Neodiprion lecontei: one gene and its partner. Each later gene encodes a partner of the first gene's protein in a complex. Links are inferred from orthologs where the notes say so. Each region holds a gene or a part of one and is shown on either strand. Other genes may lie near its edges.

Region 1 (5,650 bases):
ATAATTCTTTCCCGCGTCGATCATCATGCTGCAATTTTTTAACACCTGCAATATCATAACCATCTGTAATTAGCATAATCGTGCATTTGTCAAAACATTCAAGACAAATTGTTTTTAGTATATGTTCTACCACCACATTCGATTACACAACGTATGCAAACCGCAAAGTTAATTTTAATGCACCATGTACTAGGGTTCACCGGTTTTACTGGGCAAAGATAAGATAATATAATTAAATAATTTTCAGCAAAAGCTTATAACTTTATGAAAGTGTATTGTTGAATGATTCAAACGCTGTATATTTTCAATTGAACGTTAACAGAACTGGACAAGTAATGTAATGCAGAAACAACTTTTAAAGATAACAACAGGATATCCTGTATAAATATTCACAGGTCATAAAATGGGTTGAATAGTACCTCAGAGCTTTTTTACAATACATCAGTTAGGTTTGATTCAAAACAGAGAGAACGTGTTTTATTACAAGGTTGAAGTTAGTAACGTTATTGTAACGAAACATTGGGGAAGAAATCAGTATTTTCTTAATTTTACAATGATTTTTCAGGAACTAAAAATTCGAAATACGAGCGTGTTTTGTTTTATTACCGTTTACTGAATTTCAGACAATTCCAAAACCATGAAATAATGGTTTTTTGTCAGCATGAATCGTTATGATAACATTACCAACTTCAATACGATGTTTTATTCTCAAATGCTTAATAAAGGATAAAAGGAAGTTTTAATTCGACAAAATGGACAATCGAATCCGCACTTGCGTACCTTTTCTAATTTTTGTTCTAGCTGCTCTACATTGCTTTCTTCTTCCTCGATGCGTGATCTGGAACAAATAACATAGCAACAACCTGACAATTTTTTCAAACATTCGTTTGGAGGGAGGGGAGGATAAAATTGTATCGACAACAGATTAGCCGTTTTCTACATAGGTGTAAAAGGTAGTGGGTTTGTTTGTTTTATTCATTCTCATTAACAATGGATGAGCGATTCTTCCACATTGAGTGTCGAAATAAATTTCAGAAGCGATAACACAGCGTAAATACGTCGCAGAGACAAAGGATATTTTGTCTAAGGTAACGCGTAGACAGAAACGAGCGAATGTACAAATATAAATTTAGTTTTCGACAAAGAGAGGTTAAGCCGAACATTTTTACGTGCGTGAATACGTAATGCTTTACCTACGGCATACGTATAGATATACATACGTATGTGTGAGAAGGATATTAAATATGTGACGTGCATAAATCCGTGGGTGAATTTCTAAACTGTTTACTATGATGATTATAATACGTTTCTTTCTCTTTCGTTTTCGTTTTGCGAATGAATTACAGGCGACGCATATGGCATATCTGTACACGAAAGTAAAATCTGTCAAGGTTGGGTGTCCACGATTCGCTGTAAAAAGTGATTGTTCTCACCGAAATTTTGGCGTATCCCGTAGGCATTCCTCAAACTCAATTAATTTCGGCATTTTGAAACAGACGAAGAGACACCTCCTGTCACATTCGGATTTATATCCGTGATGTTGATACGTTAATAATATTTCACGAATATGCTGTCACTCTCGCACAACATTTTCATTCAGCTATTTATTTATTTTTCACACAAGCTCGTGGGTAATTACTCGTGAAGAATAGAAAATGAGTGAAAAATAAAATCATGCAGCGTGATACTTGTCAGAGGGAAACCACAGTGCGGACAATCGGTCCCCAATCCCCACTTTTTCGTCAAATAAATAATGGAGTAGACTTGTGAGTCGGCCGCACTCGCTCGGGTCGAGGTACGGAGCACACGTGAAATCTGAATAACGTGAATCAGTCGCCAGAACGACGCGCGGAGAAAACCCGAACAGAGTATGTCGGGAACGGCAGAGGTATTTACACTATTTACGGCCAGGATTAAGAAATTTCCTGTCTTACCGATCGTTGGTAAGAACTCAACAGAAAAATCGCGATCGGTAATAATAACGGACTTGTGGATATTGGAAAAGTAAATAGTCATCGGAGTTTGCGAATTTTTTCATATGAACAAACGCCTAGGATCTCTGTTATTTCCGTTTTTGTTCGTAATTTACGCACATAGAAGCACTTACCATTTCTGTCGGTATGTTAGCTAGCCATGCCGGAACTACAGAATACATACTGACACGAGTTGTTTTCGCCCAGTGTTTTCGCCTTTATTGCCAGTTAACGGCTGTGGGCTTAGTGGTTGTGTTTCAAATGACAAATGAAAATCCGTCAAAGGGGTAAAGCAATACGTGCGCATAAAATCGTTTTTGTAGGCGAGAAACGAGTTGATAAGCGGTGATATTCCTGGGAATTGGCTAGCATAGAATTGCATAAGTGATATTGATTATTTCGTACGTTAATTTGTGTTCGTCGTTAGGCTTGGCGTTCTTCGGGCAGCCGAATTCGAGGTTAGCGTAGTTAGTCTGGTGAGATTGTGACCTCACTGACTCCTTACTTGAATCGAAATGATTTTTCACGATGCCGCAATCGACTTTCGCATTTACCCAATACCATTAATTGTCAGAAATCAATCGAAGATTCCTTTTTTTCAGATTAGCGATGACGGGTGCGAGTGTAACTGAAAAAACATCCACCAACAACCCCTTGGAGCAGTTTGTCCTTCTGGCTAAAACTGCTAAAGGCGCGGCAGCGGTGGAGCTGATAAAGCAGGCCGTTGAAGCACCTGGAGTAAATGTTTTCGGGGAGCTGCTGGATATGCCGAACATAAAAGAATTGGAGAACGGACCGTACGCCGAGTATTGGAACACATTGAACCTCTTCGCCTATGGCACGTACAAGCAGTACTTGGCGAACAAAGATAAACTGTTCCACCTCACACCCGTTCAGAAAAAGAAGCTCCAGCATTTGACGATAGTCACGCTAGCCACGAAATCAAAGTGCATACCTTACTCCGTTCTGCTAGAAGAGCTTGACTTGAAGAATGTCAGAGACCTGGAGGATCTGATAATCGAGGCTGTTTACGCCGATATTATCCATGGTAAATTGGACCAGAAGAATTCACAGCTAGAAGTTGACTATGCTGGATTAGGTCGGGATGTCAGACCCGGTGATACCGGCGCCGTTGCAGAAATCTTGACTGCCTGGGGTGAGGCCTGCGACACGGTACTGAACTGCATTGAGCAGCAGGTGCTTAGGGCCAACAGTGAAAAACAAAAGGCAACTCAACACCAAGAAAAACTTAAGCAGGAGGTAAGTCAATTGGCACAATCCCTTAAGCCAAACCTGCTCGTGTATTTGGAATTCCAGCACTAGCACGTTTATTCACTCATTTCACAAGTCCCGCCTTTCTCAGCTTTTAAGTCTGATCAAAAATCTTCCTCTTGCAGATCCAAGCCGTAAAAAAATCAATCACAGCTCATACAGTACGTGGGGTTGTCCAGGAGGCAGATGTCGCTGGTGGCGGGATCGAATCTGGATCGGGAGGAAGCGAAACGAGCCGAGAAGCCGTGCCTGTTCCACCAGATACTAAAAAGAAACAACAAAAACCAAAAGGTATTCGAGGCAGTGGTAAGTTCTGGAAGACTTAAAGTAAGTAACAAACGGATAAGTGCAGATCTCTTGAGGCCTACTTCTTATCCACGGATCGGTGATACTCTTGATATTTCTACGAAGAAAAAAATGTCATACGTGTAAGTTTCTAATGACTGAAATTAACGAATATTCGTATGCACAGGATGAAGTGATTTCAGGGTGGCCGCTTCTCTGGGAGAATCGAGAACTTTTATCAGGAAACTGTTTTCAAGTCTTGGGATTATGTCATGTTCACATATCGAAAATAAAAAAATACAAATAAGTTGGCTGTGATTTGTAACTATTGTCGTGTACTTTGTTTTGCTGTGGTCAGCAAACATAATTTAATTTGTCGTTTCTTGTTTTCATTGAAATCGTGACTTAACACCTCTGTTTTTTTTTTTTTTTTGGAAAGTTGATGCGTTGTGATCTCCTTGACAGTCAATAACTGAGACTTTTAAAACGATGCCTACACTTTGCGCAACACTGCGGAAAAGAGACAAAGTAATTTTTGAGAAAAAAAAACAATCAAGCGGCCACCCTGAGTGTCGTAAAATAATTGAATAAGTTCTGAAGTAGAATGACCGAGGGATCTGTGTTATTACGTTGTTTAAAGTGTGATGAAAATAATGAAATCAGGGATCTTTAAGAGTATAATAGAACGTAATTGTATTTTACAATGCCAATTATTACGTTGGCTCGGATTTTGCACGTCGATATTTAAGAGACGTAAGTTGTATATATTATTAAATATGTAAAATGAACTGCTGGTTCAGGATTTTCATTATTAAACCGTAGTCACTACTTCACAAGTTACAGAAAAAGCACGACTAATATAATATATATAAATATGGAATCACTATGAGCCATGTTATTATGTTTATACTAAAAAAAGCCGTTGTTAAACGAAGAAATGAAAGAGAAAGTTGAAAATACGGAAAAAGTTTTAACTTTAGTAAGGTTGTTTGCAGTCGTGAATTGGAATGAAATTTTTAAACGATTGATTTTATCTTCAATTTTTGGTATCGCTAGTTACCTAGATTTATAAAGTACATTCATTACTCTCACTTGTTTTACCCCGCGACGTTTTATAAAATTATAGAATATAAAAGTACGAGATTATTCTTCAACATCTTGTGGTTCAGTGATGTTATTAACGTTTCGTCGAACCATTTTTGTTTTTTTGTTTTTTAACTATCTATTAATATATTCGAATGGTGCTAATTAACGGATACATAAATATTTAATTCAAGATATTCAACGAGATAATTTTAATCAACTACGCGATGTATGTAAAACCTGGTGAAAAGTAAAAGTAGAAGTGAATATAAGCAAAACTGAGGGGAAGATGTTGCCAAAATTTGACATAAAATATGCTAATCAGTTTTACTTATTTCGGTTTCTATCCCGCGATGTTTTTCGAGATCGAATCATCAGCCATACATTAAGTATTGCAGAAGGAGATAAACAAAGTATTTAGTAAATAGGAAAACTTGAAAATACGTAATCATAGTAAAATAATATAATATGTATTATAAAAGTCACAGTGTTATGTCAGACAGATATTAAAATCCACTGATTTGTTTCGATTTTAGTTTTATAGACAAGAGCCAGTTACAAGAGGATGCTAATTCGGAAGGATATGTATTACAAAAAAAAAAAAAAAAAAAAATGAAAGAAACAGAAACAGTTCGATATCGATCAAAGAATTTCTATCTCGAGATGTAATCCTTCGCGATACATTTATCATTTGTATCATTAATACCAAATGCTGCATAAACATAATTATTAAATTACAACATTAGTTACTATTTCCATATACTGATATATATCATTTTGTTACTTACCGAATGAATGGATAATATTATATGATTTTCCATTTTATAAAAAAAAGAAAAACCATAAAATATGTACCTTTTAGTATACAACAAAACATATGTTCATATAAAAATAACACAGTGCATGCTGAAATCTTTGCAAAATGAATGATGTAAATCCAGTTGTGTTGTTTTGTCTTGCAATTGGTTAAAATTCAATTGTTCTTGTTTTCGCGGCGAGGGATTCATCCCTACAATAATGGACAAAAATAACGATAA
Region 2 (5,440 bases), on another chromosome or scaffold:
AGGTCATATCCACCTGGCTACCCATCCGGGAATTACACCTCGCTTCGGACCTGACATGACTTTTCTATATGCCTGAGTACACACGCACGCACGTGTTAAAGCCGCGCGTAACGTAGCAACGGTGATTTTTCGACACGTGAGAAAATTAGGAATATCCATAATACTGATCTACTATTACGTATCTTTGTTGTGAATTTTTTTTTACATCTGCGGAGTCATTAACAATACCAAATTACTCAGGGTATCAATTTATAGGATTTAGAACAACAATACAGACATATTATCGTAAATGAGTGAACACGGAACGGGTAAATCGCTTCGACATTAGAAAGAAAGAAAGAAAGAAAGAAAATGAAAGAAACGCATGTTTTATGTATAACGAGGTCGCCTCTCTTTCTCCCCGATTCGTCTTGGCAAGCTACGCACTACATTTATCACAGGGGGCAAATACATCCAGTGACATCGTCGAATCGGTATCATTCGTACCTTCATACTCTGCTTTTACTTTTTGAGACTGAGTTTCCTGCAGTGCCGATATGAGCACGTCCCTCTCCTCGGGTGTCAGGCGTACAGCGAGATCCCTCGCCTGTTGCTTAGATAAAATCGGCGGGGTCTCGGGGGTCTCGACGTTCCGTGGAGCACCAGCAGTAGCAGTACTTGTGGTAGCTGTAGTAGCCGAGGGGGAAACCCCCGTTGTCATAGATGCCCGCAATCGGAGGTCCGTTGACCCCCGTGACGTCGGTAACATGCGCTTATTCGGAGTCCTGCAGCACGACGACGAGCTGCTCGAGGATTTTTTAGACATTAAATATAATTCACTGCCACAGCACATGGTATGGGAATAATTGTCATATATCGACAGTTTTCTCAACGTTGATGCACCGATTCCGGGCCCAAACTTCGCCAAACACTGCAATGACGTCACAGGTCCACTCATTCTCGTTTCGAAACTTTTTACTCTACTCTTTTGATTTTACAACCAATAATATATTCATTCGCTTTTCAATACTATCTATGCGGCACCTATTTATATCTATGGCACTCTTTATCGACTGAACATTTACGTTGCACGCTCGAACACAACTCACCGACTCTGCGAATCTGGGCTCACTGACTGACTGACTGACTGACCGGAGTCTAGATCCCCTGCGGTGACCTACGCTCTCTACCGGCATCAGCCGCTCGCGTCGATGCGACGACTCCTCCCCCTCCCCCTCCCCCCACCCCTGCCCTACCCATTCTGATTCGTCGGTGATGTATACATATTCAAATTTCCTGGATGTATGTCCACGGAGTTGATCCAATTCCCTGTTCTGCGATCCCTTCATTTCTCGGATGAGTACGTGGGATTTTCGATTCTTCCTTATGTATTATTAGTATATAATAAATTTCTGTCTTCGGTTTTCCCTATTCTTCGTAGTTTAATGCCGTAAGGCGGGATCCAAGTAAACCAAAATGAATTGAATAGAATTGAGTACGTCCAAAAACGCAGTTAATTAGAATTAATGCAAATTGAAATGTTTTATGGGCTAATTCTTTTGAATTTGTTATAATTCATGTTAATTCCTATTTTACCGTGTGCAATTCGATTTAGTTTACTGGGATAACACAACTCCGGCTATGCTTCCATATTTGCCGTATTTGACGAAATGGCAATAAAAAAATTAACGTGTATGAAATATCCAATCTGCAATGATATCGTTCAAACGAATTTTAATTACAACTGCGATAACTGATACAACGAATTAAAACCTTTTTAATTAATTCTCAGTCACGAATGATTCACGCAAAAGCAAATCGCGCAATGATAAAATTTCATTCATGATTCCGTTAAAGAAATGAATTGTAAAAGGGAGTAATAAAATTTAGAGTACGCAATATAAGTACAACACTGATCAGTAATCTCTGCACAGAAAATACACAATGAGATGACTAATTTCATGATGAGTCTCATTTGTTTTTCAATTTGATTTACAGCGCCCTCAGAGCGAGCAATTCGTGACGGATTTTTTTTGAACTAAGCATCGACAACAGTGACCCCTACTGCAAAACTAGTGGATATGCGAATTCGAGAAGATATTTAAGTTAGGTTTGTTTACGACCGTCGAAGAGTTTCTTTTCGAAAAGATTATTTTCAAGAAGTATATACGGGTATGGATTTTAGTCAACTGTTCTGATCCATAGTTTTCTACAGTTTGGCTAACTACTCTGTCGATATTTGATACGAATTTTTATAATAAGTTTACTTTACATAAACTCAACTGCCGCACCGTATTTCTGTTCGATATTCACATTTCACGTTTTTGCGAATTATTTTCCGTTAAGTTCTCCACAAATAATAAAAGCGATCAATTTATAGTCATCCATCCATCCATCCATCCATCCATCCATCCATTTATCCAGCGGTATTAGGCAGATAGAAAAATCCGTTTATGTTCATCAAATGTCAATTTCTGTTTCCAGGATAAAGAAGATCGTTAATAATGGCAAGCACGTCGAGCGATCAGTCGTCCACGGCACAGAAAACATGGGAAATGACAAATAACGTTGAGACCATAAGCACAGCAGATGAAATCTATCGATACGATCGTCAGGAGCAGCTTGATATACTCGCTGCGAAACCATGGGAAAAAGAGTATGAACTATGCCTGCTCAGTTATTTCAATATCCGAGAGAAAATCCACTCATCAATCTATACTGAACACGTCTGCAATTTTTTTTTCGTGTTTTTACCATATCCGTCTCTAATTTAGTAATAACTATCAAGTAACTGATCTATTATTGACTAAAATTTGATCTTTTCAGTCCTCACTTCTTCAAAGACATCAAAATATCGGCGCTAGCTTTGCTGAAGATGGTTATGCATGCCCGATCCGGCGGAACTCTTGAGGTCATGGGATTACTCTTGGGAAAAGTAACGGCGAATACTATGCTCGTCATGGATTCGTTCGCTCTTCCCGTTGAGGGTACTGAAACTCGAGTCAATGCCCAGGCCCAAGCATACGAATATATGACCGCTTACATCGAGGCTGCTAAACAGGTAATGGTGAATCAATATTTTTGGGTTGTAAAATGTGCCAAGACTTTCACCTCCATTGGCTGAATCAATACTGATACATTCTACAACTGTATTACAGAGTAGACAAAAAAATGGGACTGACGACATTTTTTCAGGTTGCCCGTCACGAAAATGCCATCGGTTGGTATCACAGTCACCCGGGTTACGGATGCTGGTTATCAGGAATTGACGTCTCCACTCAGATGTTGAATCAAAATTTTCAAGAACCATTCGTAGCGATTGTAATTGACCCTGTTAGAACTATTTCAGCTGGAAAAGTATGCCTTGGAGCTTTCAGAACATATCCCAAGGTTAATATAATAAATGATTTGAACACAATTACTAGGAAATTATACCTGAATTTTTTTGATTTAATTATTTTCGTGCCGTTTAATTCCCACAGGGTTATAAACCACCCAACGACGAGCCATCAGAGTACCAAACAATACCGTTGAATAAAATCGAAGACTTTGGAGTACACTGCAAGCAGTACTATTCCTTGGAAGTAACGTATTTCAAATCCTCCCTTGATCGTCGACTGCTTGATTCTCTCTGGAATAAGTACTGGGTTAACACGTTGAGCTCGTCCAGTTTGTTGACGAATGCCGACTACACGACTGGACAGATATTTGATCTTTCCGACAAACTGGAACAGTCTGAAGCAGCACTTGGTCGAGGAAACATGCTCGCCGGATCTAATGATCCTTACGACCGTCGGAGCGAGGACAAACTCGTCAAAACGACAAGAGATAGCTGTAAAACTACAATTGAAGTTATACATGGTCTTATGGCTCAAGTTATCAAAGATAGACTTTTCAATCAATTTGGAACCGGCAAAAAAGACTCTTAAGCTTATTTTCTCTTACAGTGCAGTTTTTCTATTGTATACCTATTATTAAAAAGATAAATAAATAATAATATTGTGATTTGCAACAAATTTACTATGTTCAATACGAAAATCATTCCAATCATAATGAGAATATTACAAATCAGAGGTGATAATGTAACTGGTTACCAAATCGTAACTACTTCTGTCCCTATACATTATTTTATTTAAAAATGCAAAGTTTACTAGATGTCAAAATTTTTATAAGAATCTGTTATGACTTTGTAGTATCCTACTCCACATATATTCCAATGAATTATGACTTGTACAGTTGAAGCTGCTGAGTTGCAGTAGTATATTCATGAATTCACACACAGGCACAAACTTCCCAATAAATTCATTTTGTCTTTCAGCGCAGTGCTTTTAAACAGTAATTACAGTAACAAGTCAAAGTTTTATGTAATACAAAGTAACAGTATTCAATTATTGTGGAATAAAAATACGTTTTATTTTCACACCTTGACTCACTAAAAAGTATATACAGCATCTTTATCATTATCCATTATCATTGTAACCGATAAATATACACACATTTACACATAGGTATGTATATACATATATTTATAAATGCGTATATATTTATATAAAACTCAAATAATTATGAGAACAAGTAGGCAGGGTTCATCCCTATTGGAGGGCTGAAACTTCTTTGTCAACATAATCATGCATACACTCAGTTACACGTATCCTGCAGATTAACTGCAATCACCCGTTACGAACACAATTCACAAGGGACGGACCTAATATACGAAAAATCCTAACTACCGATAAAATCGGTGCAATAGTGCATGTCCACAATCCTTTGTAACCAAGCAGTAACTTAAAGTTACAAGATTAATATGTTTTTTTTTTGTAAATTTATCTTTACAATACTTTAAGTACAACCTTGCCATTAATATTTAATTGCCAATTTCCAGGCACATATATGATTTCTTTCAACTACAGCTCAACTGACATCATAATTACCTCTCTCTGCCTTTCGATAAACAACACTTAAGCAAATATTGAAGCAAAATCTTTTTTTTTTGAATTTGCAAAAGTGCCTAACGCAACGATGTAAGCATACAACAGCGATAAAATAAATATTATACGTATTCATACATTATATTAAACGCGTGAATTAGCGATTCATTGGTGCAGCTAAATGAATATATAATAACAAATATTAAAAATTATAGTCCAAATACAGTAATAGTGGAGACGAGGTACGATAGAATTTAAATGTAGCAGAATCCAGAGAGAGGAAAAACTTGGGATTGTCAGGGGGATTCGGTACAATACAATGCTGTAATTTATAAAGGGAATCCTCGGTCTTCAAGACCTTAATAGTTCCCGCATTTGTTACGTACATACGTATAATTTGGGATGTAAAATTATGACATGAGTAGCAAATGTTTTAATATTCAGTCCTCAGCCCTCCAATGATAATAATTAATCAAGGATTCTACGTCTAACAAGGATTCTAGCAACTCATTCCTATTAGTTGGGTGAATCGC

What was found.
Region 2: COP9 signalosome complex subunit 7b (region 1) and COP9 signalosome complex subunit 5 share a complex: the UniProt entries of both Drosophila melanogaster proteins name them as parts of the CSN complex. The link is inferred for Neodiprion lecontei from reciprocal best matches to the Drosophila melanogaster genes CSN7 and CSN5.

Annotation. Positions count from the first base shown.
Region 1 is NC_060261.1:43,244,596-43,250,245, forward strand, and holds COP9 signalosome complex subunit 7b, read left to right. Parts: upstream 1-2,105; 5' UTR 2,106-2,120; coding exon 2,121-2,260; exon of another isoform or gene 2,261-2,449; intron 2,450-2,575; coding exon 2,576-3,233; intron 3,234-3,370; coding exon 3,371-3,571; 3' UTR 3,572-5,143; downstream 5,144-5,650. Other genes in the region: arf-GAP with coiled-coil, ANK repeat and PH domain-containing protein 2, read right to left, coding at 1-45, 781-838, 1,434-1,486. UniProt on the Drosophila melanogaster protein: Component of the COP9 signalosome complex (CSN), a complex involved in various cellular and developmental processes.
Region 2 is NC_060264.1:28,330,540-28,335,979, forward strand, and holds COP9 signalosome complex subunit 5, read left to right. Parts: upstream 1-2,016; 5' UTR 2,017-2,151; intron 2,152-2,463; 5' UTR 2,464-2,483; coding exon 2,484-2,635; intron 2,636-2,805; coding exon 2,806-3,040; intron 3,041-3,174; coding exon 3,175-3,369; intron 3,370-3,461; coding exon 3,462-3,908; 3' UTR 3,909-4,684; downstream 4,685-5,440. Other genes in the region: transmembrane protein 65, read right to left, coding at 487-910, 1,089-1,175. UniProt on the Drosophila melanogaster protein: Probable protease subunit of the COP9 signalosome complex (CSN), a complex involved in various cellular and developmental processes.